3 linked regions of the Macaca mulatta genome follow. The protein of the gene in region 2 interacts with the protein of the main gene of each other region in a pairwise test. Links are inferred from orthologs where the notes say so. Each region holds a gene or a part of one and is shown on either strand. Other genes may lie near its edges. The genes, in order: TMEM43, GRAMD2B and CD207.

Region 1 (10,353 bases), on a different chromosome or scaffold from region 2:
GGGTGGAAGAGAAGCAGGGAGAGTGAGGCAGGGAGTAGCTGACCTAGGCCCAGGTCCAGGATGCCTCGGCCACGCCCCTCAGGCTCTTCTCCCACCTCCACACCCGTGCCCAGGCTGTGCTGTCGCCCAGAAGGCCTCTCCCACTTCAGCTGCACTTGGCCAAGTGCAGCTGTGCATGCAACTGAACTGAATCTGCCTGGTGCAGGAACCTGATCCTAGGGCCCCGACCCTCCTATTTGGAGAGCCCAAGCCTCTCCGCATACCTCCGGATACTTGGGATTTTCGCTGTGGTAGAAAAAGTCTCCACGGCGAATGATGTCCACGTGAGGGTCCTCCAGCTTAGACAGGCTCAGGGGCTTGAAGTTGTCAACTTTGTCGATGAGGCCTGAGGGGACCAGAGTGGTTAGAAACCCAGTGGACTAGGTGAAAACCTCAATCTGCAAAGTCCCTGGCCTGACCCCCTTCCCCCGCGCCCTTGAAGCCTGCACACGTGGCGCTCCCGCCTCCGGTGCCTCTTTCTGATCTGTCTCGTCCACGGCTTCCCCTGGGTTAGACCATCTCCTCCAGGAAGCTTTCCCTGTGCCCTCTCCCACCAAGTCAGAGTGACCACAGCACTGGGAGTGGCCTTAGCCCTTTTCCCTTCCATCAAGGTTACGGCCATCCACGTCCAAGCCTGACTTGCCTCCTGGGTTGAGAGCTACTTGAGGGCAGGCCCAGCTGGCACAGCAGGCACCATCCAGCAACAAAGCAGACCCAGGCCAGGCTCAGGATCCCCCAGCCTCCCCAGGGCTATCTGGACCCTTGGTATCTTCTCCCACCTTCACGGGTCAGGCCCAGGAACAGACCCCAGGGTTACTCCGGCCCATGGTGCCGGCCCATGGAAGTTCCCTGGAGCTTCCTACCCTCTTGCCTAGACCCCTGCCAGCCTGTCGTGCCCCACCCACCGCTGTCAGATATCTCTTGCATGGACTTTACACCCCTCACTAGCCCCTCCCAGAGCATTCCATCCCCTGACCATCTTACTGGCACAGCCCAGACCATTGCTGAACAAGGCCTGCTCTCTAGCCACACACTCTCCGGCCCACCTTATCCCTTGCAAGCTTCTCTTTGGAGTCAATGGGGGGTGCCTGTGATGAGCTAGTGACTTCCTGGCACAGGTGGGACTCAGAGGCGGAGGCCTAGACCGAGAGCACTGAGTCGCCCCATGTCTACTACTAGCCGGAGTCTGCTTGAGGAAGGAGTCTGCTTGAGGAAGGAAGGCAGACACCGGCACGCAGCAGGGTGAGGATGCATGCCTGAGTCATTCTCTGGAACAACCCAGGTTTCAGAGGAACCTGGTAGGATGGAGTGGGGAGGGGGTTTCTACATTAGCCCTTGCTCCCTGGGGATTCGCCTTCCCCTGGCCGCCCAAAGCATGGTGGTGGGAAAGGTATAGACTGATCCTGTGCCTTTAGCCATCTGAAGGCTGAGTGCTGGGAGCTCCGGCTGTGGGAGGGGCCTTGTGCTTCTGGCACAAGCTCCTCTGGAGAGGTCTGAGACTTACCTGGCGAGAGGAAAAATCTGCCAATTTGGACAAAGGGGGCTGTTGCCGTGAATGACTCCACTGCCATGGCACTGTGGGAGAGAGGAAGCTGTCAAGAGATGGGCACCAGTGTTGGAGCTGCCTGGGTCCCTTTGGGTTGTTTGTGCTGGGCAGGGTCCCCACCTGGGGGTTCCTGCAAGTCCAGATTAGCCCAGGCACAGCAGACATCTTTTCTTGTCCACCCCCAGGGCCCTTGTGCCCCCTCCCCCGGGCTGAGTGCCCTCACTCTGTCTCCTGTTCCCTGGAGCTTCCTACCCTCTTGCCTAGACCCCTGCCAGCCTGTCGTGCCCCACCCACCGCTGTCAGATATCTCTTGCATGGACTTTACACCCCTCACTAGCCCCTCCCAGAGCATTCCATCCCCTGACCATCTTACTGGCACAGCCCAGACCATTGCTGAACAAGGCCTGCTCTCTAGCCACACACAAGTGTTATGCCCACCTCACCACTGGCATGCCACGGAGCTAACCTCCCTCTGCTGAAATCCTGAGAAGCCTCAACAAATGCTGCTGCCTCTGGAAAGCCTGTCCTAATTGTCCTCCTACCCATGGCAAACCATTAACAAAATGCTTGCCTGGCTCCGTGTGTGCAAATCCCCTTAGATGCTTAGTGCAGGCCGTACATTTGTGACCTGTTTGTGGGGAGCTCGTTGGGGGTCAGGGGAGACGGGTCTCTGTGTTCCTGGTGCCCAGCACAGGGCTTGGTCTCAAAACCATGTCCCACATTTTCAACCCATGGAGCAGGATTAACTCAATCCTGTTATTCAGATAAAGAAACTGAGGCTGGAGACCTGTCAGTATAGACAAGGCTGCATTCAGGCCTGGGGCCTGGCTCTCACCTGGGGTTTTTGTGGCCAATCTCTCGGTCGAAGTTTTTGCTGTTGATGATTTCTGACCTCCATTCGGTGTCTGCTCGGGGAGAGGAAACAACTCAGAGCCTGGGTAGGAGTGGCACGTGGCTGATACCCACCAGCCCAGCTCCTCCCATCTCCCAGCCAAAGGGGTGGGTCAGGGAGCCTCACTGGATGGGTGGGAGAGCAGGACTCTGAAGACTGGCACCCAGGGATTCTGATGCCTGGTGCTGAATCCTTCTCATGGCCCAACTCACAGCCCTGCTGTCCAGCCACTGCTGTGGGCCCCCACCATGGGTAGAGACCACGTGAGGGGCCCAGTACTCACTGTAGGAGTACCTCGTCTCCTTCTTCACCTGCCCATCCTCAGTGTACTCCCTGCAGGGAAAGCAAGGCAGCCATGGGGGTTAGCCTCGTCGCCCTGGACGGTCTAACCTCTAAGCATCTGAGCCAGAAGCAACCTCAGGGCTACCAGATGCAGACTCCCCAGATGGGGGCAGATGCCTTCTCTACATCAGCCCCAAGATAGGGCACTCCCTCCTGACAGCCAGCCAGCTCCCGCCCTCGAAGGCGCTGCCTGGAGGAAAGCGCGCTCCCATCCTGAGCTGAAATCTACCCCCACTGGCCTTACACCACCAAGGGGCCCAGCTCTGCCCTTTGGGCTCAGAGATCTGGTTGCACCCTCTGCTCCGGGACAGCCCTGCGGGGGCTCCTGAAGCTGCCCTTCTCCTGCTCCTCCCGCCACCTCCCCACCCATCGGTCACAGTCCATGTGATTCAGGTGGGGCTCCAGGTGACCCCAGCCCTGGTCAATGAGAACCTGCCCCGGGACTCCTGTCAGAAATGATAAGTTGTAAGTGGAGAGAAGATGGGACCAACACAGCTGATGGGAAGGCGGAACACAGAGAGATGCAGTGGGGTCTCGGGGGTGACATGCTGATCCCATGACAGTGTTTCACGCCTGCTCCAAGTCATGCTTCAAGCTTGTGCATCTCTGGAACTTCCCAGATGTGGGAGTGACTCGATCCCCTTTTCCTCTTGGAGCCACTCTTCACTGGGTTGTTGCCACTTCCAAATCACTGGCTATTAATTTGGGGATAATTTCACACTTTTCTGATAGGAAGATGTTATCCTTGAATTTCAAAGGCATCAAAATGAAAGGTATCTGCATGTTATCCTGACACCTACACCTCACTCCTCCTTTACCCCAACAGAGTTTTCAGCCCCTGGCGCCTCACCTGGACTCCTCAGTTTCTACCCACTGGTACATCTCCACGTGCCTCCGCAGTTTCACAGCCGGAAGATGAACCCCATAGTTTGGATCAGACAAAAGCTTCAAACAGAATCAAAGAAACCAAAAAAATAAAAGATAAGATTCATGTCAGCCCAGAAAGCCTGGCTGAGGGGAAGCTGGACTGGAAGAGGAAGAAATAGAGAAGGGGACAAGGGTGGAGAGCCCTAGGCTGCTTTGCAGGGGAGGATCAAGGACACTGCCTATCCCAAGTTCTTCACACATAGCGCCCGTGACCCTCACAGTACAGGCCTGGGCTGCATGGCCCAATGGCATGGTGCCAACAGCGTACAGGGTGTTCAAATAACACGAAAGCTCTGGTGCCCAGGGTTGTTTTGTGGCTTTGCACTGGTCACACACGGTCATCACAATCATGAGAGCACCTCCTTGAGTGCCACCCTCTGTATCAAGATGTTAGTTATCTCATCTCACCAAATCCTCAAGGCTGGCCACAAGCTTGTTACTATTACCATCCCCATTTTATACATGAAGACACTGAGACTCAGGATAGACAAGTCCACACAGCTGCTGAGCGGTGGAGTCGGGAATCACACTCACGTGTGACCATCTCCAAGGCCCATGCTTTCAAATCCTCAGCCAGACAACATCCAGGATGAGCCCCGAGCCACTGGCAGGTCAGCATCCCCTGCCAAGCCTACCTTGGATGTCCGCAGGGCGCCAATGATATGCACCAGCCTTCCTTCATTCTCTGGCGCCACACTGTGGATGCTGTCAGGGGACACGACAAGCGAGAGCCCCTCGGCCAACGAGGTTGCCGTCTTCAACGCACGGCCCTGGGAGCAAAGGGGAGTGGGAATTTCAACAACTCAGGGGTGGCTCAACATGACTGTGCTTGTTGCAAAGTATCAGGGTAGGATGGGGCCTCAGGGAGCACTGAGACCCATCTCCCCACTGTACAGTTGGAAAACTGAGGTCTAGCAAGTGGAGAGTAAGGACTGGAACCCAGATTCCTGCTTTCCCAGGCAGACTTCTTCCCACTGCCCCACTGGTTCCCACTAGCCCCCACCAGTCTTAGCACTGCCCCAGTGGTGAGAACAGCTGGCGTTTCTGCTTGCCTGTCTCTTTCTCCCCATTTTTCTCTGCCTTCTTTTTCTTAATTTTATTTTTATGTTTAAATTTTTTGTAGATATGGGGTCTTGCTATGTTGCCCAGGTTGCTTTTGAACTTCTGGCCTCAAGCAATCCTCCCTCCTTGGCCTCCCGAAGTGCTGGGGTTATAGGCCTGAGCCACCATGCCTGGCTCTCCTCTCCCCTACTCAGTCCATGTGGTTTACCTAGGTAGATCTGAACCCCTGTTCAAATCATGTGACCCAGACCTTGCCAATCAGAACATGTGAGTGACCCCTGGCCACGGAGACTGATTCAGAGGACTGACAGCCAAGCCAGGACACTGAGAGATTGCCCTGTAACTGTTGCTAAATTGATTTAGAAATATGCTGTTGCATCATGAGGTCTTATTTTAAAAAAAGGAAAAAAAGAAAGAGAGAGGAGAGAGAGACAGAGAGAGAGGAGAGAGAGAGAGAGAAAAAAAAAGAGAAAAAGAAAGAAAGAAGAGAGAGAGGAAGGAAGGAAAGAAGGGAGGAAGGGAGGGAAGGGAAAGAAGGGATGGAAGGGAAGGAAGGGAAGGAAGATAAACAAATGGTTTTTCTCTTCCCTGGGCTAAGTGGGGGAGGAAGGGAGGGAAGGGAAAGAAGGGATGGAAGGGAAGGAAGGGAAGGAAGATAAACAAATGGTTTTTCTCTTCCCTGGGCTAAGTGGTTGGATGTAAGCCAGTTGCTGGGGCCACATTTACCATCACAGAGGAAGTGCCTGCCCAAGAAATACACCATAATAGAGAAAAACAGGCTAAAGATGAAGAAATGGAGACTCCTGGTGACCCAGCATGAACACCTGGATCCAACTACGCCTGAGGCAGGTGCTAAGCCCTGGATTTTCGGGTGTGTGAACTGATCTACTCCTTTTCCTGCTCACATCAGCTGTGGGATGCATCACAATGCAAAGAACTGTGATTAACTCAGTATCCTTCTTTCTCTTTTGTAAAATCTAGGCCCTTTATTACCAGCCTCTGGGTTCATAGCCTTTGCTCTCTGACATGGTAGGGACTCTCACTCTGCACAGGAAGACGCCAGACATTTTACCTCATTGGTGAAAATTAGGTAGAAGGAGAGCAGGAAGGTCATGAGCCCCACGACCATCCCACCCGAGGTCTCGCTCAGCCGCTCCAGGAAGCCTGGCTGGGAGCCGGTTGTAACTTTGACATGTTCTCTCCGGGTACTGGTACTGGAATACTGAAGAAAAAGAAACATAGTCACAGAAGGAAAATTAGTTTTTTAAAAATAAATGAAATTTGCTATTTATTTATACTCAGTTTTTTTTGTTTTGTTTTTAGTTTTAACTGTATGTGGTAAAAACACACAGATACTCAATGTGCAGTTTGGCTAGGTACAAAATATTTCCATCTCCCCAAAAAGTTTCTTTGTGCCCCTTTCCTGCCAACTCTCCCCCTCTCCACCAACCAGAGGTAACTGGTAGGGATGGGGAGAATCTGAATTTGAATTTCTCCCACTGTAGATTAGTTTTGTTTCTTCTAGAACTTGAGAAAAATGGAATCAGGGCACCAACTCCTTTCTGCCCAGCTTCTTGGACTCAGAGCACTGCTTTTGCAATTCGTCCACGTTGTGGTGTTTATCAGGAGTTTGTTCCTTTTCAGGGCTGAGTAGTATTCCATTTATGACTATACCACAATGTGCTGAATCATTCGTCAGTGGATGGGTATCTTGGCAGCTTCCAGGTTTTGGCTATTATGAATAACGCTGCTGTGAACATTCATACATGAACCTTTATGCAGACGTGTGCTTTCATCTCCTGTAGGAATATACCTAGGAGTACAACTGCTGGCTCACAGAGAAGATGTGTGTTTATGAAACTGCCAGGCTATTTTACAAAGAGGTTATTAGAGAGGTATTTTTAATTAAATTCAGCAAACAGTGGCTGAGCTTTCTGAGGGCAGTGCTAGCCCTTGTGGGGTCAGAAGTAGACAGTCTTAGGGCAGTGAGGTCACAACCATAAACAATACTAGAAGGTCATACAGAGTGTCTTGTGAGAGGGGTGGACTCAGTGCTCAAGGAGTGACCCCTTCCAGCTGGGGTATCAAGGCAGGCTCCCTGGAGGAGGGGGCATTTGAGTGGAATCTTAGAGACAGACCTTAGGGGAAGAGCATCCCTAAAGGGAGAACCATGTCAGCAGTGATGAAGAAGTAGGAAGTGGTCCTGGGGGAGCAGCTGCCTATCTGCTTTGGCTGGGTTGTGGGAGGGATGGAGGAAGAAAGGGCTTGGAGCTAGGCATTTCTGGGCAGGTTCACAGTGGGCCTCAAACTCAAGGGTGAGTGGATCAGGCTTTGGTCAATAACACAGGCATGATTTGGGGTGCATCCACTGCTGATCAAAAGCGTCATCGTCTAGGGCAGGATTCTGGAGCCAGAAGAACTGGGTTTGAATCTATGCTGTGCCACACACCAGCTACAGGGTCTTGGGCAAAAGCAATTTCACCACTTTGTGCTTTCCATTTCCTCTGTGCATAGGGTTGTGGTGAGAAGCAAAGAACATAGTTATTGGGGGGCTCAGGGCCGAGGCCTTGGTAAGCACTCTACACATGTTAGCTAGTGGGAATGTTACCAGATTTCTCTACAACTGATAGTGGGCTGGCACCAGGCTGGGAGTGAGCTGACAAAAGTCACAAAGATATAAAGTGGGGCCCAGCTAAGACAGTGCCCCATCCTGGCACTAGGGGCCAGAGGAGTGATTTGAGTCAGAGTCTCTGCTTGGACAAAGCTGATGTCACGTTCTGATTGTCTTTGAATATCACCAGCCAAGGCCTCCAGTGACCAGATGTCCATGAATCCAGAAGTCATCTTGACTTTCTATACCATTTGGAAACATTAAGGGAGGGAATCACCACAGGCAGGCAGGTGACCATCATAATGATGACAATGGCAAACACGCCGGTCTATCACAGGCCAGCCCACACGCAAGCCCAAAGAGCTGGATGCCATAACCACCCCATTTCACTGATAAGAAAATCGGGCTTGGGTTAAGTCATCTTCCCAGATCACACAGTTTCTAAGAGGAAGAGTTAGGATTCACATCTGGGCAGACTGGAGACTACTCTCCTATTACTCATTCCAGTCTGTGCTCCCCAGCTCTTGGGCTACAATGTGAGTTGAATGTTGGGTGCCGGCTGCAGGCAGCAACAGGAAAAGGAGGCGTGGCTTCCTCTTGGGCGTCCCCTCAGCCAGCATCAAGATAAGGGGCTCAAAGACAGCCTTGGAGGGAAGGAAGAGAGGTACAGGAGGGTGCCCCTCAGGCTAGGGGAGGGATGAGGTAGGCAGTGACATGACATACCCAGCCCACATTCTGAACCAAAATTCCCAGTAAACATGGAGGATCATAAAGGATCTATATATACACACATATTTATATATACATATATATTACATGTATACACACAAATGTAAACACACACACACACAGACATCCCCAGTGACACATCCCCTCCCAGTCCCAGCACTCAGGACTCAGAAGAAATGAGCAATGAGTGGTGGGAACAGAGGCTGACACATAAGCCCTGGAAATGAACAGAACTGGGTTCGATGCCCAGGTTCACCAATCACTTGCTGTGAAGCCTGGGTAAATTGCTCTACCTCTCTGATTCTGTTTACTCACTTATAAAGTAGAGAGGGGAATAGTACCTTCACCATCGGTACTGCTGCTGCTATACTGATTGAGAATTCTGTTGCCTCCCTACTCCATCCCACTATCTTCTTCCTCACCCAGCCTAGTGGCTGCTGTAAATGTATACCCAGCTACTGGATGAATCAACAAATGCTTGGCAGCAGAGGATACTCAAATGCATGTATGTTCCTTGGTGAGGGGCCAGGTCTCAATGTACCCAAGACGATCTCTATTCACTGGGACCATCTGTGCTCCCCTCTGCAATGACAGGCTAGTTTTCAAGTATTAGGTACCTACGACACACCAGGCACTGTGCTAAGCAGTCTCCCTTAAATGTCACAGTAACTGATCCATGAGGCTACATAAACCTGGAGAGATGAAAGCCACACATCTACTGGGTGGAAGAATCTGGATTGCCCCCAGGTCTCCCTAACTCCAAAGCCTGCCCTTTGCAGCATGCCAAGCTGGCCACAAGAGTTTGGGCAGGTGCCTTCCCCTGCTGGGGAAGTTCACCATCTGTAAAATATGGTGGTGGTGGTGATGGGAGCAGACAGAGTCCACATACTACAAACAGGCTGGTCTCCTGTCTGCCCTCTCTCCTGGCCGAGCCTGAGTCTCTCGGAATACCTCTGAGGCCTTTCTAGGTACACCATTCAAGGCTTCTAACCCTCCTGTGGGCCCAAAGTGTCCTGGGAGTGTAGATGATACTAACCCGAGACAGAGTGTACTAGGACTGTGGGTGATGCACACCCTGGCCTCTCAAGGGGTGTGGGAGGCAGAGAGGACGCTTGGGGACAGAGGCGGCGTCTGGAAATAGGGTGTGACAGGCAAGGGGAGAGCTGCTAGGACACTCTACCAAAGCAGGAGGGAGGGTGTGTCTGGGGCTGGCTGGGCTCCTAAGCAGGCCCTAGAAGCACTTTCACAGAGGAGGGGAGAAGTGAGTCACCAGCTTCTCCCACATCCAGCGCCCTGGTAGGAGGCGCTGCTTGGTGTGCTGAATGAATGTTGGGCTTAAATAGTTTCCCGAGAAAGGCTAGTTGCAGGGAGAAGAGGCCTTGAAGGAACAGCCCTCAGCCAGGCCTTCTCCAACCAAATCCTTGCTAGGAGGAGGAGGGGCCCCGACAGTAGAGAAATGCTCCCTCTCCCCCTAACTCCTTCGCTCCCAGCCCAGCCTAAGCTTTTTGCAGCATCACAGCCTCGGTTTACACAGCCTCCCTAGAGCGGGGAGCTCTCTGCCCGCCTGGACAGCCCTATCCGTCCATTGCTGGACAGCTCCACTTGGGCTGGGTCGCCTTCCTCCCTCCCAAGGGAATGGCCCCCTCTCTGAGCTCCCGTCCAGCTCTCATAATGCGCAACCTTGGGACGGCTTCAGGGCCCCAAGATACAGGAGGGAACTAGGAATGCAAGGAGGAGCCGCGGAGAGGCGTACAAGCAGATCGTAGTGCGGGAGCAACACCTCCGAGTCCGCCTCCGCACGAACGCCGAGGACTAGGCGGACCAAAGAACACGGACAAAAGAAGTCTGGACGGTTCGAGAGATTAACAGAGGGATGAGCTGGCGAAGGCACCGACACGGCGCGCAGAGGGAGATGCGGGCCCAGCCGCAGGGAGGAGCTCCAGACGGCGAAACGGACCCAGAGGGCCCCGGGGAAGAGCCCCAGGGCGACGGAGAAGCCTGGGTGTGGCCCGGCTGGCCAGGGGACACTCACATTCGCGGCCATGGTGGGACCCGGCTCGCTGCCGCCGCCTCGCGCTGTTCAGCTAGGAAGTGGGCTGACGACTGGAGCGCGGAGTCCAGCGGCCTCTTGCCAGCCCCAGCTTCGAAAATCCGCGTGGACTCCAAGACCAGGCGGGACTTACTGCAGTTACCGCCCCGTGTGCC
Region 2 (10,353 bases):
CAGGAGTTCGAGACTAGCCTGACCAACATGGTGAAACCCTGTCTCTACTAAAAATACAAAAATTAGCGGGGCATTAGCCGGCTCAGGAGGCTGAGGCATGAGAATCACTTGAACCCAAGAGTCAGAGGTTGCAGTGAGCCGAGATTGTGTCATTGCACTACAGCAGCCTCGGTGACAGAGCAAGACGCTGTCTAAAAAAGAAAAAAAGTTACAACCAGACGTCTCCAACCCTTCTAAAAAACCCCCTCACAAGACCTCCATTCCTTACCCTGTGCAGGGAGACTCTTGGCTTTTCCTTCAGGTACTCTGTTCACATGGGCATCTGCCCGAGTTGGCTTTGCTTCTCCCTTGGAGACATTCAGAACTGTTTGGGATTCTGTCACATGGAAATCTACTAAGCCAAAACGGAGCTGGGTAAGTTTTCTCTCCAATGTATTTAAAACAGGATTAATCACCAAGTAAATCAATCCCTCAACATGCATGATGGTCAAGAACATGAATGGATCATCTCACAAGTTAGTTGTGGTGGCTGGGGGCTGAAACTGAATGCTTAAGCAAATAAGTAATAAAGTGATATAAGGATAGTCTTTCATTTTCCAACTAACTCACATAGATAATTTGGCTATAACAATTAAAAATATTATTGAAATAAGAGGGAAGAAAATAGGCCAGGCGCGGTGGCTCACACTTGTAATCCCAGCACTTTGGGAGGCCAAGGTGGGTGGACCACGAGGTCAGGAGTTCGAGACCAGCCTGATGAACATGGTGAAACCCCATCTCTACTATAAACATACAAAAATTAGCCGGGCTTGGTGGCACATGTCTGTAATCCCAGCTACTCGGGAGGCTGAGACAGAAGAATCGGTTGAACCCGGGAGGTGGAGGTTGCAGGAGCCAAGATCGTGCCATTGCACTTAGGCCTGGGCAACAGAGAAAGACTCCGTCTCAAACAAACAAACAAAAACAAAAAAAAGAGGGAAGAAAATATTATGTTTTTCTCTCTCAACTACCCCAATATTAGGTCTATTTAAGAGACCTCTGTTAAATATGCATAAAAGGAAACGAATTTTTACCACATAGGCAATTCTTTTCCCTCAAACTCTCAAGGCATCCTTTCTCCAGATTCCATTCCTGATTTTTAGCTAGGAAGACAATGTGGCTTTTTTTTTCTTTCTTTTCTTTTCTTTCTTTCATTCTTTTTTTTTTTTAAGGGGGTTGGGTGAGGATGTTTTGCGGGGAATTAAATTTTAGTCAAAATACAACAATTTCCCAAACCTCGAGAGTTCTCAGATTCAGGAGTTTGAGAACCAGAACTGCTGTATCCTTCCATGTCTTGCCTTCTTTGTTGAACCACTCCATCCAGATCTGAGAATTCATCATTGAAATCCTGAAAGGAAACAGTGAAATGAAGACAGGCTGATTTTCCCTTAGTAAACAGGCAGGCCTTTGTACCTCCCAGCCCTTTCACCTAGGCCTGACCTATAAAACACAGAACAGAAGGAAGGATTACCCCATATGATTGGGATTTTCCCAACAGATCACCGAGTGTCTGGTTACTGAAACAGATTTTTCAGGCAGTTAAAATTCTGTCAACAAACAGTGGCCAACTTGTTTAAAACAACAAATGTCTGGAAAAACACCCAGAATGCCAATAATTGAGAAGCATCCAGTGTGAAGCTGAAGAGGTTTCATTAGCACTTTGAAATGAGAAAACCTGATTACTATACACATATATAAGAGCAAAAATAGAAAGCTTTAAATCCAAGTTCAAATATGTAGACAGAGAGAAAGATACTACTAGATTATAGTTTTTTTTTTTTTTTATTTTAAAAAAGTATTGGAAACAGAAAAGGAAAAATGGCTTTAGCAAATTAGGCCCTGAAAATAAAGTTTAAGCTTTTTTTATTCCCTCAACTAAATCAAAACAGGGTTAGTGCTAGTACATTTACATTTTAGAAAGATGATGGAGGAGTAAGGGAAAAAGCACAGGCGTTCTACTTTGTATTCTATTGGTTCCCCAAAGTGCTTAAGAACGGAAGAGACAAATGGTGTCATTAAAATGTCCTGGCAAAGGTACAATTAGGCTGAGCTTTTAACAATTTAGTCAGCTGCCAGATGAAGAAGAGACTCATCTTGTAAGCAAATTACCAACCTTTCACCTTGAACTAGCTGTCTTTTGTTCATCTCAACACTCATTTCGATTTCATACAAGGATTTATAGGAGAAGGAAGATTGAAAATTTCTTCAATTTAATGATTTCTTGAATGCCTATCTTGTATCAGGCAGTATGCAAAGCTCCTTACATACATGATTGCATTTAATCTTCACAGCCATATCATGAAGCTGGCATTTTAATGGATGAAGAAACTGAGTCAAAGCAGTTACAGAGCTTGCCTGATGATATAACATAGCTGGGTGGAGCCCAGATTTAAAACCAGGTTTCTTGGATTCCAAATCATATGTGTTACATTATATTTTGTGCTGCTTCCCACTACTGTTTTTCAAGGTAGATTTTTAAGAAATTGAGATAAAATTCAGGTAACATAAAATCCACCATTTAAAAGTATACAATTTAGTGGTGTTTAGAATATTCACAATGTTGTACAACCATGGCTACAATCTTGTTCTGAAATATTTCCATCACCCCCCAAAGAAAGCCCATACCCATTAGCAGTCACTTTCAATTTCTCCCTCACCCCATTCTCTGGCAACCACTAGTTTACTTTCTGTCCCTATGGATTTGCCTGTTCAAGATATTTCATATAAAGGTAATCATAGAGTATGTGGCCTTTTTGAGTCTGGCTTCTTTCACTTAGCATGCTGCTTTCAAGGTCCATCCATGTTGCTATATTGTTGCTGGTATCAGTACTTCATTTCCCTCTTTTTTTTTTAGATGGAGTCTCATTGCACCATCCTCCAGGCTGGAGTGCAATGGGGCGATCTCAGCCCACTGCAACCTCTGCCTTCCAGGTTCAAGCAATTCTCCTGCCTCAGTCTCCTGAGTAGCTGGGATTATGGGCACCCGCCACTAGGCCCAGCTAATTTTTTGTATTTTTTAGTAGAGACAGGGTTTCACTATGTTGGCCAGGCTGGTCTCGAACTCCTGACCTCACGATCTGCCCACCTCAGCCTCCCAAAGTGCTGGGATTACAGGCGTGAGCCACCACGCCCAGCCCTTAATTTCCTTTTTATGGTTGAATAATATCCCATTGTATGGGTATTTAAAAAATTTATTAATCAGTTGATGGACATTAGGCTTTTCCCCACCTTTTGGCTATTACGAATAACGCTATTAACATTCTTGTACAAGTGTTTGTGTGAATACGCTTTCAGTCCCATTACTTTTAAACTGTTCTCAAAAAAAGATTTGTGGGAGATGTTGAAACCATGGGCTCATATTGCTTCATTAATGTTGAATATTTATAATCATTTGAATGATATGGCTGGAACTCTCTTGGGAAAACATTATAACCATTATGGGTACAAATCTTACACAAACAGAGGGAGCTACTTCCCACTGGAGATTTACTCTACAGTTTACAAAGTCTAAGGGAATGAATCAATCTTTACCTGTCACTTGGGCTTTATAGCTTTCTTTTCTTTTCTTTCTTTTTTTTTTTTTTTTTTTTTTTTAGACTGAGTCTGGCTCTGTCGCCCAGGCTGGAGTGCAGTGGCCGGATCTCAGCTCACTGCAAGCTCCGCCTCCCGGGTTTACGCCATTCTCCTGCCTCAGCCTCCCGAGTAGCTGGGACCACAGGCGCCCGCCACTTCGCCCGGCTAGTTTTTTTGTATTTTTTAGTAGAGATGGGGTTTCACCGTGTTAGCCAGGATGGTCTCGATCTCCTGACCTCGTGATCCGCCTGTCTCGGCCTCCCAAAGTGCTGGGATTACAGGCTTGAGCCACCGCGCCCGGCCTTTTTTTTTTTTTTTAACAGTTAATTCTGAGCATGTTTGTCTTCTCTTCTAAGTTGTGAAGTCTCTGAAGGCATGAATTAGTTTTAATTTTTCCTGGTATCCTACAGCGTGCACTAGCATGGTGCCTTGAACACAGAAGACATTTAAGGATTTGTGGGATGACTCAGTCCTACCTCAAATAGATGTGTGAATCCCTCTAAACCAATATTGACAGGCAAACAGAGCAAGACTTTATGAATGCCTTCACTGACCAGTAACTCACCAAGACAGTCTACTAGGTGTTTCCTTCTTTTTGCAGGACAACTCTTCAATTACTTGGAAAAAGTTTATGGCTACTATGGTTTCCTCTTCTTCAAGACAGATATGCCCTGTTTCTTCAACTGTACCTCAAATATTTTGGTCCTAAGCTCTTCCCACACCCTGGTCATGGTGTAAGCACAAGTGTAACTGTGGGACATATTCCCTTTCTTTTGCATTTAGATAGTTATGTAGGCAACTTACCAGAGGCAGAGATGACGGGCGGTCTGCTCGGAAACTGTTTTCAGCAGAAGATGGATTGGGACTGTTACCAACACTTGTATTCTGAAATTATTGGAACAAAGCGAAAAACCAGATTAACAATGAAACCATAAGAAATACAGAAGAGAGATAGTAATTGAGGCTCAGGGACATCATACTCACTTCTAAGTGTCCACACACAGATTTTAGTAGTTTGTAAGTTGAATCTCTGGAGAGTAAGGAGACAAACATGTACTGAAAAACAAAACAGGATAATTATGAATAGATATTACCTGATGAGAAGTGAGAGTTGAGAGTTCAGAAAAGTATCTGTATACAGCTTTTTCACTTTCAAACAACATGGACCGCTCTTTGATCTACATTCTCCTCTCACCCAAATATTCCATTTTTATTCCATTTCTGGAATAAAGCAAACATTCTCCCATAAAAACAACAAAATTTTCAAACCCAATTTAAGAGTAATCAATACATGTAGGGCAAAATGAAGGCTCCAAAAGCCTGTCATTGGTGCCACAAACAAGCCCAGAGAAGAAAAGGCCTGGACATTAAAAAAAGGCTAGTGACATTCACTAGATCCCCTTTAAAATCTCTCTCCCTCTGTTTTTGTTGTTAAGGGTATTTAACAATTCCCGAGGGTCCGCCTTCTCTGCTCTGACCTAGATTTCCACTGAAAAATTCCCAGTGGCTCTAATAGGCTAGCTCTCTTTCATGCCACTTCCAGATTCTTCCTTGTACAAATATGGAGATTTTCGAGTGGAGACTTATAAGTGAGCCATGGGAAAGAAGTAAAATAGAAGCTAGACGAATCATGTGAAGACAAATGACATGAGGAAAAATGATTTTACCATAAACAATATGTTCAGAAAATATAAAAATCTACTTTTTTTCCCATCTATTTATGTCATAGAATGTTTTCAGACCTCCTTTCCATGAGTTTGCGATTATCCTTCTCATTTACCAATGAGGGAACTTGAATTATTTCCAAGCAAGTACTATATTCCAAAGTAATTAATATTGTGGGTTCTGGCATCAGGCAGATCCAGTTGCAAATTCTGGCTCTGACACTTACTAAGTGGGTGACATTGGGAAAACTGCTTAACCCCTCTAACTTTCAGTTTTCTTAATAACAGTTATCCATTACAGGGTGGTAGCAAGAAAATATAAGAAAAGCATTAGTGTATGGCCTGACAAGGAGGAAATACTGATGAGTGTTGGCTATTAGTATTTTTAAAAGATCCCCAAATAGATATTAACATATCTTCTAGCTTATCAGAATGGTCTCTTTTATCTTTCCTTCTTTCTTCTTCTCTCTACAAGTTTTCTAGTATGGTTAGAAAGGAAATCTATAGCCAGTCACGTTGGTTCATGCCTGTAATCCCAACACTCTGGGAGGCTGAGGCCGGGGATCACTTGAGCCCAGGAATTTGAGACCAGCCCTTGGCAACATAGCAAGACCCCATCTCTATTAAAAAAAAAGAAAAAAGAAGAAAGGAAAAAGGAGAAATGAAATCTATAGAATGTAGATTTTATGCTTTCATAGAAATAATAGGTAACAGATTAAAAAAATTTCACGTGAAAAGTAACCACTCCACTCCCTCTTTCTTGCCAAGCTGAAATAAACACCACTTTAATGTAAATGTTTCTGATCGCACATGTCTGGGGTAGCACAATAGTCAATTCAGCTCTGGAATTTCTATGTAGAAGGTAGTTCAGGCAACCTGTTAGTAAAGCAGGTCTAAAAACTGATCCTGCACCTGCAGTTGCAGAGCAGGTGCAAGTTTTATTTATCTGGAATGGCTCTAGGGAGGTATTGACTGAGGTTATGGGGAGGCTGGCCACCCCCACACCAGGAACTCCTCACTATCAACCTGCTTGCCTCACCCTGTCAGTAAGGTGGTGTTTTGTTGTTATTCTTTATATATATTTATTACTGTTTTGAGACAGGCTCGCTCTGTCACCCAGGCTGGAGTGAGTGGTGCTCGATCTCAGCTCAGTGCAACCTTTGTCTCCTAGTCTCAAACAATCCTCCCACCTCAGCCTCCCCAGTAGCTGAGATCACAGGTGTGTGCCACCACACCCAGCTAATTTTTGTATTTTTTTGAAGACAGAGGGTTTCGCCATGTTGCCCAGGCTGGTCTTGAACTCCTGGACTCAAGCGATCCACCTGTTTGGGCCTCCCAAAGTGCTGGGATTACAGGTGTGAGCCACTATGCCTGGTCTTGTTCTTGTTCTTTTTCTTGGAGACAGGGTCTCGCTCTGTTGCCCAGGCTGGAGGGCAGTGGCACAATCATGGCTCACTGCAGCCTTTACCTCTTGGGCTCAAGTGATCCTCCTACCTCAGCCTCCCAAGTAGCTGGGATCACAGGCACACACCACCACACCTGGCTAATTTTTATATTTTTTGTAGAGATGGGGTTTCACCATGTTGCCCAGGCTGGTCCCCAACTCCTGGGCTCAAGCAATTCTCTCACCTCAGCCCTTAGCCTCCCAAAGTGCTGGGATTAAAGGCCTGGCCTCCCTTTTTTTTTTTTTTTTTTTTAAGTTTTTTTCTTCTTTAAGACTATTAAAGGAACTGAATATACCAGTTTAGCCTGATCTAGCAGATGTTAGCCTGACCTAGCTGAAGTTGAGACAGCATTTTATTTTTTTGACCTTGGTCAGGCAAGTATAATTAAGTCAGCAGGAAATTCAAAATTGGCAACACTTCTATGAGAATAAATCACCTTGTGAAGGGAAACAGCACTACATGAATGTCTACAGGCTATAATTTTTAAAATTAGTCTTATAGAATTTTCCTGATTCACCAAAGGAGATGATGATATTTATGGTTTGGAGTCTTGGTCCTTGGCAAGAGGGCCCTCAGGCAGCAGAGCCCAGAGCAGGAGGACAGAGCGAAGGTGCCCTCGCTCCGCTGCATACTCACCCTGTCTGTGACCGTCGCTATGATGAGGGCGTTTGGCACTAGAAGAGCAGTTTTGGTTTTCTTTATTAGGGTTACTGAGAAAGCTGGAATAGAGATCTGAAACAGAATCAGCAAGTTAATGCCAGTTCAGACTTGACAGAACAGCACTTCGAATCTTCACATTAAAGGGAAAAAAAAAAAGTAAACAGAAATCAAAACCAGCAGCAAGCTCCCCAGCCTCCATGAAGAAAAGTCAATCTTACAGAGTGGCAGGGATGTGTCACTGAGCTCCTCAAAATGGTGCTTACTGAGCCGGAGGATAAATCTGAATCATCGATTGGACTGAAGATCTTGGTGGGAAACCTTTATCTTCAGACATGAAAATAGAATGCAAAATGTATATTCATTTTAAAGATAAGCCCAAGGCTCTAAAGAAATTTCAAGCTTCTGGTCATCCACTTTGGGCTAACTTCCACATGCCCCACTCTCCTCTGTCTTTAGGTGCACGTTGGGGGGAAAATGTTAAAAAGCACTGGTATAATAGGACCATCACTGGAGAGAAAACTTGGGACCTGAATTCTTGGCTCAGTTCTTTTTTTTTTTTTTGAGACAGAGTCTCGCTCTGTCGCCCAGGCTGGAGTTCAGTGACACGATCTCAGCTACCTGCAAGCTCCATCTCCCAGGTTCACGCCATTCTCCTGCCTCAGCCTCTCGAGTAGCTGGGACTATAGGTGCCCACCACCATGCTCCGGCTAATTTTTAAATATTTTCTGTAGAGACGGGGTTTCACCGTGTTAGGCAGGATGGTCTGGAACTCCTGATCTTGTGATCTGCCCACCTCGGCCTCCCAACTTGGCTTAGTTCTGTTACTACAGGTTGAGCATCCTTAATCTGAAAATCAGAAATCTAAACTATTCCAAAATCCAAAAGTTTTTGAATGCTGATATTGATGGTCAAAGGAAATGCTCACTGGAGCATTTCAGATTTTGGATTTTTGGATTAGGAATGCTCAGCCAGTTATATATTGGCAGACATTGCAAAATCTGAAATCCAAAACACTTCTGGTCCCAAGCATTTTGGATAGGGGATACTCATCCTGTATCTACATGACCTACTCCCCCGTGTAAGCCATCTGTTCTAGGCCTCAGTTTCTTGATTTATAAATTGGAGATAGTCTCATCTACTTCTCAGGATTTTCTGTGGATTAAGTAAGATAATATATGCAAAATGCCCAGAGATGAATAAAAATTTCATTTACCTCCTCACTTGTTTATGAAATCAGGATGGGTGAAATAAAATATTTTTTAATACTAAATACTTTTCTGGTTCAACAAAGAATAACAACAACAGTAACTATAGAAGCTACGATTATTGATACCTATTTACCAGATAGAATTTAATTATGATGATCCTACATAGTCAATATTTTAAGAAATAAAGAAATTTATTTAGAGAGGTGCATATCATACATAAGAAGTTACAAAGATGGAACTCAAGCCAGTCTGATTCAAAATGTGGGTTCTTTTCAATACAATGTGCTATAAGAATGTATCAAATGGCACAAAGAACAGAAGTTCATGATAATTTATGTTATACCTCTCCAACCAAATTTGATCTCAAAGGAAAATGGATCGCCATTACTTTAATCCCTGAAAACAGAACATCTACTTCTTGAAAATGCCTCACATATTCTCAAAAGTGGAGAAGAGATGGGCTTTATGTAAGTACTGCCAGCTTGAAGGAAGCAAGCACAATGAGCTTTTTTTTTTTTTTTTTTTTTTAAGATGGAGTTTTGCTCTTGTTGCCCAGGCTAGAGTGCAGTGGTGCGATCTCAGCTCACGGCAACCTCCTTCTCCCAGGTTCAAGTGATTCTCCTGCCTCAGCCTCCTGAGAAGCTGGGATTACAGGCATGTGCCACCACGCCCGGCTAATTTTTTTTTTTGAGAGGGAGTTTTGTTCTTGTTGCCCAGGCTGGAGCGCAGTGGTGCGATCGCGGCTCACCGCAACCTCAACCTCCCAGGTTCAAAGGATTCTCCTGCCTCAGCCTCCTGAGTAGCTAGGATAACAGGCATGTGCCACCATGCCTGGCTAATTTTGTATTTTTAGTAGAGACGGGGTTTCTCTATGTTGGTCAGGCTGGTCTCAAACTACTGACCTCAGGTGATCTGCCCACCTCAGCCTCCCAATGTGCTGAGATTACAGGTGTGAACCACCACGCCCAGCCACACCCAGCTAATTTTGTATTTTTAGTAGAGACGGGATTTCTCCATGTTGGCCAGGCTGGTCTTGAACTCCCAACCTCAGGCGATCCACCCGCATCAGCCTCCCAAAGTGCTGGGATCACAGGTGTGAGCCACCGTGCCTGACCACAAAATGAGCTTTTAATTTTGAATATTTGCATTTACATCTGGGTTTATGAGATGGGCTTATTTATTGCCCTCAATGATCTAGGCAGGAAGACTATGGAAGAACAAGGGATAATCCAATTGAGACATTTTCTAAAAACTGTTTGCCAAAGAACTCCACTCACAATATTTTTCAAAGGCAGGAGGCAATTCAGAACTTACAAGTTGGGATAAATTTGGAAAAAAAGAATTTGAGATCTACTTAGATCATAATTTAAAAAAAATGAGTCTAATTTTGTTTCTGAGCAGCAATACAAACACACAGTGGCAAAGGGCTATAAATTTAGATTTTTCATAATCTAAGGCATGGAACACCCTTAAGAAAGTTTTCAATTGCTTCATGAGTATAAAATTACAACCAGATAACATTTGTAAAATAAAGCTTAAATCACTTTTCAGTTTGAGCCTAGACAGAATGTGATACATGCATGCTAATTTTACTAGCATCTGAAAATACCAACAGGCTGACTAAAAAGGTCCTGATTAAATTAAGGCTACACTTTATTAATATTTCTCCAGGGTAAATGATAATATTTTTCCAGGGTAATGGTAACATTTTTCCAGGGTAAACTGCTTTAGAAGGGGAACTTGATTAGAAAGTTCCCACGGTAG
Region 3 (10,916 bases), on a different chromosome or scaffold from region 2:
GAACTCAGGTTCAACAGGATCCAGCACTCAAAAGCACCAGGACTCACTTTTTGTCTCTTCGTTTTTTTGTTACAGCTTCTGTCTCTGTGCTGGTCTTATTCTACTGAGGTCTTCCACATGACAGAGGAACTGGTTACTAGCTGCCCTATAGTCATATCTTTAGGGCCCTCAGTTTAGGGAGAGAGGAGAGCTACCTTCCTACCCAAACCTTGGGCAGCCATCATTGTGAGCTGTCACTTCTATGCCTGGAATCAGCAGCCCCATTTGAATCACAAACTGAAAAAAGTTTCCCAGTGGAGAGGGATTTTTGGTATCAGAAATTCAGGAGAGGCCAGGTGTAGTGGCTCACGCCTGTAATCCCAGCACTTTGGGAGGCCGAGGTGGGTGGATCATGAGGTCAGCAGATTGAGGCCATCCTGATTAACATGGTGAAACCCCATCTCTACTAAAAATACAAAAAATTAGCCAAATGTGGTGGCGGGCGCCTGTAGTCCCAGCTACATGGGAGGCTGAGGCAGGAGAATTGCTTGAACTCTGGAGGTGGAGGTTACAGTGAGCTGAGATCACACCACTGCACTCCAGCCTGGGCAACAGAGTGAGACTCTATCTCAAACAAAACAAAACAAAAAAGAAATGCAGGAGAGGTGGGGAAGGATGCTAGGGAAAATAAGCAGGAATTGTCTTGTTAAATATGTATATAATATATCCATAGTTACGATTAGACATAGCTATGGCTATAGATATAGATGTGTATATGTATATACATGGGTGGTAAGGAAAACTGAACTATGGGTATAACATTTGTTGTCTCTATGGTGGGTTTCTTTTTTTCTTTTCTTTCTTTTTTTCCTTTTTTGAGACAGAGTCTCACTCACCCAGGCTGGAGTTCAGTGGCATGAACTCAGCTCACTGCAATATCTGCCTTCTGGGTTCAAGTGATTCTCCTGCCTCAGCCTCCCGAGTAGCTGGGACTATAGGCACACACCACCATGCCTAGCTAATTTTTGTATTTTTAGTAGAGACGGGTTTATGTTGGCTAGGCTGGTCTCAAACTCCTGACCGCAGGTGATCTGCCCACCTTGGCCTCCCAAAGTGCTGGGATTACAGATGTGAGCCACTGCGCCCAGCCTATGGTGGGTTTTTTTTCCTACTTGGATTTTTTCTATAATTAATATCATTAGTTATATAATAAATAAAAGATTTTAAAAGAAACTGCACATTTTTTTTCCTAAAAGCCTTTCATTACTTTCCTAACATAGATTTGCCCCTCTCACTAAAGCTATAGGCATGAGTTCTTTGACCTACAATGTAATTTGGAGCAGCCTTCTCTGCCGGGTACACAGCAGCTCTTCCATGTGGCTAGGTTGCCAGCCCATTTACATATCACACTATTTATGATGGCACTGGGTGAAATACCCTGATCGGTAGGGTCTGGCTCATTGTCACTGTTCCAAAGAGACTTATCCTTATACAATGTCATAAAAAAGGAACCCATTATCAGGGTCCAGGGAGACATGGGGAGGTCCCTATAGTGTTGTCAGTCATTTTTAGTCTTGGGAGACTTCCCTTCTCCCCAGCATTAAGGATGTCATATTTTTTCAACAACAGGAAAACCATTCCTGAGGGCGGGGTCTGTAGTTGTCTTTTTCCTTGCTGTGTCTTGGTACCTAGGGCACAGCAGGACTCTAGAGGAGTAAGTGATGCCACCTATGCTCCTTGGTTTCTCTGCCCTATCCCCTGTGCCCAGGGCACATGTCCAGAGGGTGGCATGGAATCCCTTGATTTTTTGTGGGCCAAATCCCCCCATTGCATCACAGGAGTCCCTCTGAGGCCTGCAAGCCAGGTGTGACCAGCTGTAATCCCCTCTCATTTCAGAGTCATTCTCCCTCCTCCCTCGCTTCTCCTTCCCTGTCCCCACTCCGCAGTTCGGTGTTCACTCTAGTTTCCTCCATGACTTGACTGAGGGACTCGGGTGACTCCTCCCGGGAGATGACTCTCGGCACTGCTGGAGCATTTCAAACAACCCAGGTCTCTGTTCCAGTCTTGCTGATTAAGTCCATGGTCCTCCTCCAAGCATAAGGCTGGTCCCAACCATAGTCCCAACAAGAGAAAGGGAAAAAGTGGCCAAGCTGTTTTCTTCCTCTGTCCTTGTCCAGAGAAAGTATTAGAACCCCAGGAGCACAGGAAGAGGAGAAATGAAAGAAATGAGCACAGACTTCCCATTCTCACCACAGAAGTGATTTTTTTGGTCACTAGGTCTGATCAGAGCTCCTCTTCTGTTTGGAAGAGGAGGGTTCAGAAGCCTGAGTGCCCAGGAGAGCCGCCCGCCTTCCTGACTGGCAAGTGTGGCCAAGGCACCTGCCTGCTTCTCTGTCTTTTCTCCTGTCAGGCCAGGTGCCAGATAGAGCATCCAGAGATTTGCACAGGAGAGATACTCAGGAAATACCTGCAGATGAGCATGCTTATAGGAAGACGGCTCGTGACTCCCTCCCTCTCCACAAAGTGGGAAATGAAACTTCTTATGGTTTGGGACTTTTACATCCATGTCCTCTGAAACCCCAGAGGGCCCACAACCCAGGATTCCATGCCTTTGCTCAGCTTCCTCATGCTGGATCATCCTTTCGCCTCTCAGTATTCTACCTACCTGAGCCTCCATTTCCATCACTTGGACTAAATGCTCCCTGCCCCAGCCCCTTCCTATGCCATCGGCGCAGCCTCTTCCTATGCCATGGGCCCAGCCTGCTGAGGCTTCCTTATCCTTTCCTGGGACCACTGAGAGGGCGTCTGGGGGCTCTATAAAGAATAACTCATGCCACAAACCAGCAGAGAAAACCCAACTTTTTGACCTAGGGGAAAGGGACAAGACACTCCCAAGGCATGTTGTGTGGCAGCTTCTTTCCTTCAAATGCTGCAGGAGGAGACCAGGACCCCTGCAAGGCCTCTTCTACCAGGGTCTTAAGTAATTTGGATTCTTCTCTATCCCCAGGCCCAGAAATAGGACAGGCTGTGGATGAAGGGCCAGGAGTCAGGAGCAGAAGGGCAGAGATGGCTCTGGAGTTGGGCTGGGTCCTGAGCATGAGAGTCCAGAAGTGGAACATTCTAATCCTGTCTAAGCCCTGACAGAACCAACGCTCTGCAACCACACGAGCCACCTGAAGAGAGTGGGAATCTTCATGGGCGTTCAGAGGCAGGCAGTGAGGTGGAGCCAGACCCTGAGGTTTGGGACTATCGAACATCAAAATTTAGAGCAGACAGCAGGTAGGGAAGCAATGAGACAGAACAAATGAGACACCATCTTTGTTACCCGGCTTCCTTCCCAGAGCTTCCCAGTGTGGGGTCCCCTCTGGGTTCCCTCATCCAGTCTGAGAAGTGACTCCAGCCTGAGGCCTGGTTAACTGGAGAGAGAGAGCATCGAGGGCCTGTAACTACAATGAGCTGCACATGGGCACGGGCTGAGCGTGCAGCCACCATCCTCCCAAGTACCAAAGGCAGCAGGAGCCCCTGAAAGCATAGGTAGATATTTCCTTGGCCCTGCTAGCTTAACCTCTAACCCTGGTCCCTGATACAGCCTGTCATCCAGCTCTACTGGCTCAGCCTCAGCAGGCCCAGGACAGCTTTCTTGTCCTGCGGCCAGAGCTTTTGTTCATTCCTGAGTAAGGAATAAATCACACTTCCCCTTATGCTTTTGCTTTGAAGATGAATGAGAACTTCTGGAGATAGCGGAAAGAAGCAGTAGCTTCTAGAAGGCAGATCCCAGGCCACAGACTGTGTAAACATCAGAGTGGCATGATTAGCTATCAAGTCTCCCAGTCACTTACCATTCACCCATCCGTCCATGCATCCTCCATCCATTCATTCATCCATTCACCCATCCTCCAATTATCTGGACCAACCTCCTTCTTTTTTCTTTCCTTCCCTCCCTCTTTCCTCTCCTGTTTCCTACATTCCAAGAAATATTTTTATAGAGTCTGCCATGTGCCAAATTTCTCAGATTTGGCAGACTTCTTCAAAGCATGAGAAGTCACCCAGGAGAAAATGTAGTCCTTCACTGAGCTCCAAATAGGCTCCTCTGTGCCCTGAGCTTCTTGCACATATGGAACTCTCTATTCAGGGTTACAAGCAAGGAGAGAGGAAGTTGTGGACAGAGAGAGAGGAGAGAGAAACAGAAAGATTCCTAGTCTGACGTTGCTGAGCACCCCTACTTTGTTTGAAAAGCTCACATGCTACAGGAAGCAGGGAGGAGAACTCAAGTCTTAGGTTTACATTTTGAATCTCCAAGTTGCATATTATAAAGGAATATTGTATCAGCCAAGATGCGCTAATAACGGGAAGCAGAATATTCTATTGCAATGGTTGCTTCCTGGCTTCCCCCAACCAGTCTGTGCTCCTCACCACGATCAGAGTGATGTTTTTACAGTGTCCCTGTCCTTGTCTCTCTCCTGCCTGAAGTCCTTAATTGGCCTCATGTCACCCACGAGCTAGAGGTGAAGCTCCTTGACATGATCAGAAGGATCTTCATAATCAGACCCCAGGTGCCTCTTCCACCCTATGTGAGTCCCCTTCCTCACATTTTTGTGTATATTTTATGTTCCAGCAATATTGCCACTATTTTCAGTTTGCCAAGCACTCCATGCTATCTTAAGCTCCATCCTTTGGCATATGCTTATCTTTCTACTGCAGTTTTTTTCCCATTATTCCATTTCACACGCTTCTTTCAACTGGGCACATCTGTCTCTTGTGCAATTTATTTGCTCATGTCTGTCTTTCCCACCAGACTGTGAGCTGCTTGGTGCAAGGACTGTGAGTTATTCATCGCTGTGGCCCTATGCCTGGTACAGCATCAGTACCTAGAAGGCACTCAGTCCGTATTTGTGGGGTGAATGGATGGGTGGATGGGTGAAGAGAATCTTACAAGAGAAATGGGATAGCTTTGGGGCAAGATGGTTAATGTATCTATGTAACAGACTCCCAGAGAAGACAACAGATGGCCTCTTTCTGAAAGCTCAGACTTCTGAGGAGGGGAGTAAGCCAGACAAGGTATCTAGTCAGGAATAGGGAAGTTGGGATGATATGGTGACCTAGTGTGGGACTGACTTCCTGTTTCCTCTAGATAAGAGCCCTTGGAGAGACAGGCAGCCAGAAGCACTTGTGCTTCCAGGGTAAGGGTGAGCACTCAGGATGACGGCCGAGAGGGAGGTCCCTGATGCACACTTCACTGTGGACAAACAGAACATCTCCCTCTGGCCCCGAGGCAAGCCACAGTCACTGCTGAGAACCTGCTCCGTGTTCTGTGTGCAAACCTGCCCTTTGCTACTCCTTCAACACACATTTTCTTCTTTTTCCAACAGAGCCTCCTCCCAAGTCTGGTCCATCTCTGTTCCCGGGGAAAACACCCACAGTCCGTGCTGCATTAATCTGCCTGACGCTGGTCCTGGTCGCCTCCATCCTGCTGCAGGCTGTCCTTTGTAAGTCCTCATGTTTCATCGTCTGGGCTTAGCCCCTCTCTGTGGCCAGCTGGCTCCCTCCAGATCCAGACCACTTCCCTGCTCTCCAGGTTTCTCCTGCCTCTGACTTTCATTTGTCTCCTTTCTCCTCTTTCCATGTGCAGTAACAGGGTGTGCCGCCCCCAGTACGGTGAGCTGATGCTCTTTCCCTCCCAATTTCTGGGAGATTATTGGGATCAGCATTTGCACATTGGTGCTCAAGGATACATTCTTTTGTCCTCAGGAAACATTTATCTAGTTTTTCATGCTGTGCTATTTTCTCTCCCTCCATCCCCCACCAATCTGAGCTCTGCTCCTTGGATTTGGAGCCTTGTGGACAGTCCCTGACAGTGCAATGTCTCCTGACCCTGTGAAGGACTAAGCCTCATGTGTCATTGGCCCCAACTCACCAGATGGAGAGCCTGACCAACGAGCCAACAGATCTCCATGACTCAGTCCCCTCAACAGGACCCGTTCGTGCTCTCTTCATTCTCCTGTCCCTGCAAAAATCATGTCTAGGGAGCCTTCCTACTCATTTGGTGTTGCGGGGTTTATCTTTCTTCCTCTTCTGGCTCTGTCAGGCTTCATGCCCTTTGCTGCTGGCAGAGCCTTCTTCCTCCTGCCAGGGCTCCAGCAAGCGGAGCAAGGGGACCCGAGAAGCTGTTGGGTTTGGTTTTCTCCCTCTGTGGCCTCGGGACATACTTGGTCTTAGACTTGTAGGCTCTGAGCAGAGTCCCCCTTCCCCCATCCTAGACCCCTGGCCTCTAGCATGGCATTTTCCTCAGGGCTCACCTTTGAGCCTCTTGGTTTATCTTTGATCCTCTCTCTGGTACCCAGGCCTGGGACCTGAGCAGAATGTGAAAGTGGGTAGGGCAAGGGAAGGGGAGAAACAGTTTTGTAATCTCCTTTTCCATGTTCTCTGGAGAAGAAGCCACTTCCAGATTAGTGGCTGGCTCTTCCCATGGTCACAGAGGGGCCCATGGACAGATGTGAGGGAGTGGTGCTGTCCTAGCAGACAGCCACTGCAGGGGTTTCTGAAAGCAGAGGGATGGCAACCAAGGGGTGGGGTCCAGGGGGAATCAAGTTCTGGGGAGAGTGATGGGGCTCATGGAGGGCACCCCTTTATCAAATGTTCCATGAACACTCAGAGAAATTTCAGGACTGGTTTCTAACCCCTGCTTCTGCTTGCCTGTGAAATTTTCTCACAGAGAGCCTGTGTTTCATCCATCTCCCCATTGTCTGTATCCACCTGTGTTCCTAGCACATGGTAGGTGCCCATTGCACATTTGTTGTATCTTAATGAATGATTGGAGGGTTGGGGTGGCCCATTGGACTGTCCTGGTTCTTTGGGAAGCTTCAGCCTGTTCCTTCTCTTCCCTTCCTTTGATCGACCTGACAACAGCCCCACTCCTGTCCCTGGGGCTCCCCTCAGCTGACCTCCTGACTTTCTCAATCCCAGATCCCCGGTTTATGGGCAACATATCAGATGTAAAGACCAATGTCCAGTTGCTGAAAGGTCGTGTGGACAACATCAGCACCTTGGATTCTGAAATTAAAAAGAATAGCGATGGCATGGAGGCAGCTGGCGTTCAGATCCAGACGGTGAATGTGAGCCTGGGTTATGTGCGTTCTCAGTTCCTGAAGTTAAAAACCAGTGTGGAGAAGGCCAACGCACAGATCCAGATCTTAACAAGAAGTTGGGAAGAAGTCGGTACCTTAAATGCCCAAATCCCAGAGTTAAAAAGTGATTTGGAGAAAGCCAGTGCTTTGAATACAAAGATCCGGGCACTCCAGGGCAGCTTGGACAATATGAGCAAGTTGCTCAAACGACAAAGTAAGTGACTCAGAAAATTACATTGAAGCTGACCAGCGGCCCATGGGATCTTACCTGTCCCAGACCTGAGGTCACTGGGCTGGTGGGTTAGGGAGGAGGCCGGGGGGAAGAGAGGGGCAGCCATGGACTAGGAAGTTAAGGAGGGAGGGCTTGAGGTTGGGAAGGACTTAGGCGCAGTTAGGAGAAAAGAGACCACGGTCCAGCTAGAGTTCCCACACCAAAGTGCAGAATGTAAAAGCATTAGGGGCTGTCCACCCTGGCCCATACCTAGTCATTTCTCATCAAGTTCCTTTCTAGAGTCCAGGGGCTCAGCCACTTGTCATGGCCGATGGAGGGTTGCTTCCCCTCATGGGAAAGACACTCTTTGTCCATCCTCTTGCATTCTAACCTCTCCAGTCCCAGACACTCTATTAGTCTCTGTCTGACTTTCAGGATTTGAAAGAGTGTCCCAAATCCCCTACACAAGGAGCCAAGGACACCAGAGCACAGCTCCATTTGCTGCTGTCTCTGAGACCTCATTCAAGTGCCCCCACCAAGCCAGCACCCCAAGAAATCAAGAATACCAGTATTCACTTTTACCTCTTGTTCTCTAGATGACATTCTACAGGTGGTTTCTCAAGGCTGGAAGTACTTCAAGGGGAACTTCTATTACTTTTCTCTCGTCACAAAGACCTGGTATAGTGCCCAGCAGTTCTGTGTGTCCAGGAATTCACACCTGACCTCGGTGACCTCAGAGAGTGAGCAGGTGAGTGTTGTGCCTGTGGGCTCTGGGAAGGGGGCATATGAGCACTGGGCCCGGGAGGATGGGCAAGATTATACTGTGCGAACAAAAATCCCCAAATATTGATGACCTAATGAAGAAGGAGTTCTCAGTACTATGTCCAATAAGGGCCAGCAAGGGGGCTGTGCTCACTATGGCTACTCAAGGACCCAGGCCGAAGGAGTCTTTATCTGAACATGTTTCCACAATTGCTGGGGCAGGAAAAGGGAACTTGACATATTGTGCAAAGCTTCTGCCCAGATTTAACATACCTCATTTTTGCTTACATTTCACTGGCGTAAGTTACATTAAGTAAGTTAAGTAAGTGATGCAGTACTCCTGGACTGGGAGGATCCTGGATTCCAGTACTCCTGGAACAGGGCAGAGAGGAGCTACTTTCCATGTGCCCAGAAAAAAAGAAATATTTGTGAACAGCATTAATGATTCCACGTGACTCAAGAAGTCTCCTGCCTGGTGAGGCAGAAATTGGGCAGGCCCTTTTCATCTGGGCGGTGGGATAGCAGCTCAGGTCAGAGCCTGGGCTCTGGAGTAGTTCTAGAGCCCTAACCTTGCCAACTAACTAGTCCTAGCAGCTTGGGTGGAATACCCAACTTCACTGGGCAAACTTCACTGGCCCTCACGTGCTGAAACATGCATGGTGATGGCACCTGCCTCAGAGGAAAGGAGTGAATGCATATGGAGGACTCAGCACAGTGCCGCATGTGGATTCAGGTGTTGTCATATGAACCATTCTCTTGCGGTCCATGCTCTGGAGTTCAGCTGAGGCCTTCCTGTGCTTCAGCACCTGCTTCCTGAGTGGCAGAAATGCTTAAGTCCTGAGCCTGTTAGCTGCAGGGCAGGGACACATCATAATCTGGAAGATGAAATCTGGGCTCTGGGCAAGGGCAGGAAGAGGCTTGAGAGGCCAGTGTGCAGTGCATCTGTGGGTCAGGGCTGTCAGTGAGCACAGGTGAAGAACACCCAGAGACAGGTGATCAAGCTCGGAGTGTGACCGCACCTCTGCTTAACCTGTCTTTCCTATAGGAGTTTCTGTATAAAACAGCGGGGGGACTCACCTACTGGATTGGCCTGACTAAAGCAGGGATGCAAGGGGACTGGTTCTGGGTGGATGACACGCCATTCGACAAGGTCCAAAGTGCGAAGTAAGTCCCTGGAGCCCTCCCTGCCAGCCTGACTTTCCCCGGCCATGGCCAGGGCATGAAGGGAGTTGGGGCGATATTCCCCATGAGACAGGGTTTCTGATTCTTCCCTGTGCTAGGGTGACAGGAGCATTGCAACCAAGATCTAGCGCAATCCTGTCACTAACTGGCTGTGGGATCTGGGCCCTCCACGCCCTCTGGGGTGTGGCAGCAAGGCCTTCTACCTGGCCGGCTTCAGCAGGGATCCTGTCATGAGTCTAGGTCTTCACAGTGTGGGTTTGTGTAGGGACTTGAGAGTGGTGGGTTGGTTTTGCCTGGACTTGGGGCGTGAGTGAAAGCTTAGAGGTCTAAGTCCCGCTAGTCCCCTTCCTCTTAGGCTTGGGTGCAGACATTTACTATGCCATTCCCTAGGACTCAAGCTGGGGTTGAGTTAACTCATTTCTTCACTGGAAATAAGTTCTTCTTGGTTTTCCACTTTGTAAATCCATCCTTATTTCTCCCTCTTGGTAGGTTCTGGATCCCAGGTGAGCCCAACAATGCTGGGAACAATGAACACTGTGGCAATATAAGGGTTTCCTCGCTTCAGGCCTGGAATGATGCCCAATGTGACAAAACGTTTCTTTTCATCTGTAAGCGACCCTACATCCCGTCAGAACCGTGACAGAACAGGCTCCCAAGCTCACTCTTTGAACTCCAACGCTTGTCAAACATGAGGAAATGCCTCTTTCTCCCCCAGACTCCAGGAGGACTTTGCACGTTAATTTTTCTTGCTTCAAAATTGTCCCACAGTGGCATTCTGGAGTCCATCTGTCTTGGCTGGAAATTCTCTGACCCCATGGAGGCAGCTGGAATGGAAAGGAGAACTCAGGTTAAAGTGGGAGGGGTGGGTAGAGAGGATTTAGAAGTTCCAATTGCCCTGCTAAGGAGGATTAAGACCCGTAATCCGGGACAACACCTGGGGTTTTCCACTTCTTCAGAGAAGCCTCAGCTTCATCACATCAAAGTTATTTCAGAGCAACCAAGCAATTCTGCTGATATTGTCATTCAGGGCTTTTCTTGGCCAAACCCTCTAGAATTTCCACGTGTCTGCTTAGCTGTGCTGGCAGCTGGCAGCTGGCTGTGTTTGCAGTGGGAATAGCTCTGTTCTTGGAGATCCTGCTCATGGTATATCCTCAGTGGCTTCTTCATCCACATCATCTAAAGCCTGAACCTCTTCTCTGGTTCAAGTCAGCGGCTGACATGGACTTGTATCTCCTTCAGAACTCGGCCAGTACCCAGACTCCCTTCTCCTTCCACTCACTTAGTACACCCGGGTGCCCAGCCCTGCCTTCCGCCCCAGTGTCCATCCAGCCTCTGTCCTCACCTCCCCGGCACCTCCTCCTCCTTCTGCATTTCCTGTCTTCCCGTGTCTTGTGCGTGGGAAGCAGCCTTCAGTGCCTTCATGAATTCGCCTTCCAGCTTCCTCAGAATAAAATGCTGCCTGGGTCAAGGCCTCACTCCACGTGCACTTTTTCATTCCTGGTTGTCCAGGTGAATATGTGGGAAAGGCGGTCTCCTCTGCTGGACATGAAGTTCTAGAGTATCATCAGGAAACATCTGGGGAGTCAAAAATAACAAGGACTAGGGAAGTTCCAGCCCTGGAAATGCCATAAAATGTGACTAGTACTTATTTCTAGTTT

What was found.
Region 1: the proteins of GRAMD2B (region 2) and TMEM43 interact in binary tests that used the Homo sapiens proteins (3 or more experiments, as listed by UniProt). The two-hybrid records come from large-scale screens. The link is inferred for Macaca mulatta from reciprocal best matches to the Homo sapiens genes GRAMD2B and TMEM43.
Region 3: the proteins of GRAMD2B (region 2) and CD207 interact in binary tests that used the Homo sapiens proteins (3 or more experiments, as listed by UniProt). The two-hybrid records come from large-scale screens. The link is inferred for Macaca mulatta from reciprocal best matches to the Homo sapiens genes GRAMD2B and CD207.

What each region holds. Positions count from the first base shown.
Region 1 is NC_133407.1:152,927,855-152,938,207, reverse strand, and holds part of TMEM43 (transmembrane protein 43), read right to left. Parts: 5' UTR 10,193-10,353; coding exon 10,181-10,192; intron 6,031-10,180; coding exon 5,881-6,030; intron 4,517-5,880; coding exon 4,382-4,516; intron 3,800-4,381; exon of another isoform or gene 3,765-3,799; coding exon 3,670-3,764; exon of another isoform or gene 3,646-3,669; intron 2,811-3,645; coding exon 2,761-2,810; intron 2,494-2,760; coding exon of another isoform or gene 2,491-2,493; coding exon 2,421-2,490; intron 1,615-2,420; coding exon 1,544-1,614; intron 1,282-1,543; exon of another isoform or gene 1,145-1,281; intron 386-1,144; coding exon 264-385; intron 1-263. UniProt on the Homo sapiens protein: May have an important role in maintaining nuclear envelope structure by organizing protein complexes at the inner nuclear membrane. Required for retaining emerin at the inner nuclear membrane.
Region 2 is NC_133411.1:135,417,535-135,427,887, reverse strand, and holds part of GRAMD2B (GRAM domain-containing protein 2B), read right to left. Parts: intron 7,454-10,353; coding exon 7,358-7,453; intron 4,669-7,357; coding exon 4,597-4,668; intron 4,498-4,596; coding exon 4,417-4,497; intron 1,388-4,416; coding exon 1,276-1,387; intron 395-1,275; coding exon of another isoform or gene 392-394; coding exon 269-391; intron 1-268.
Region 3 is NC_133418.1:53,869,876-53,880,791, forward strand, and holds the start of CD207 (C-type lectin domain family 4 member K), read left to right. Parts: upstream 1-5,125; 5' UTR 5,126-5,178; coding exon 5,179-5,251; intron 5,252-5,348; coding exon 5,349-5,465; intron 5,466-6,942; coding exon 6,943-7,317; intron 7,318-7,910; coding exon 7,911-8,062; intron 8,063-9,121; coding exon 9,122-9,240; intron 9,241-9,747; coding exon 9,748-9,898; 3' UTR 9,899-10,916. UniProt on the Homo sapiens protein: Calcium-dependent lectin displaying mannose-binding specificity. Induces the formation of Birbeck granules (BGs); is a potent regulator of membrane superimposition and zippering.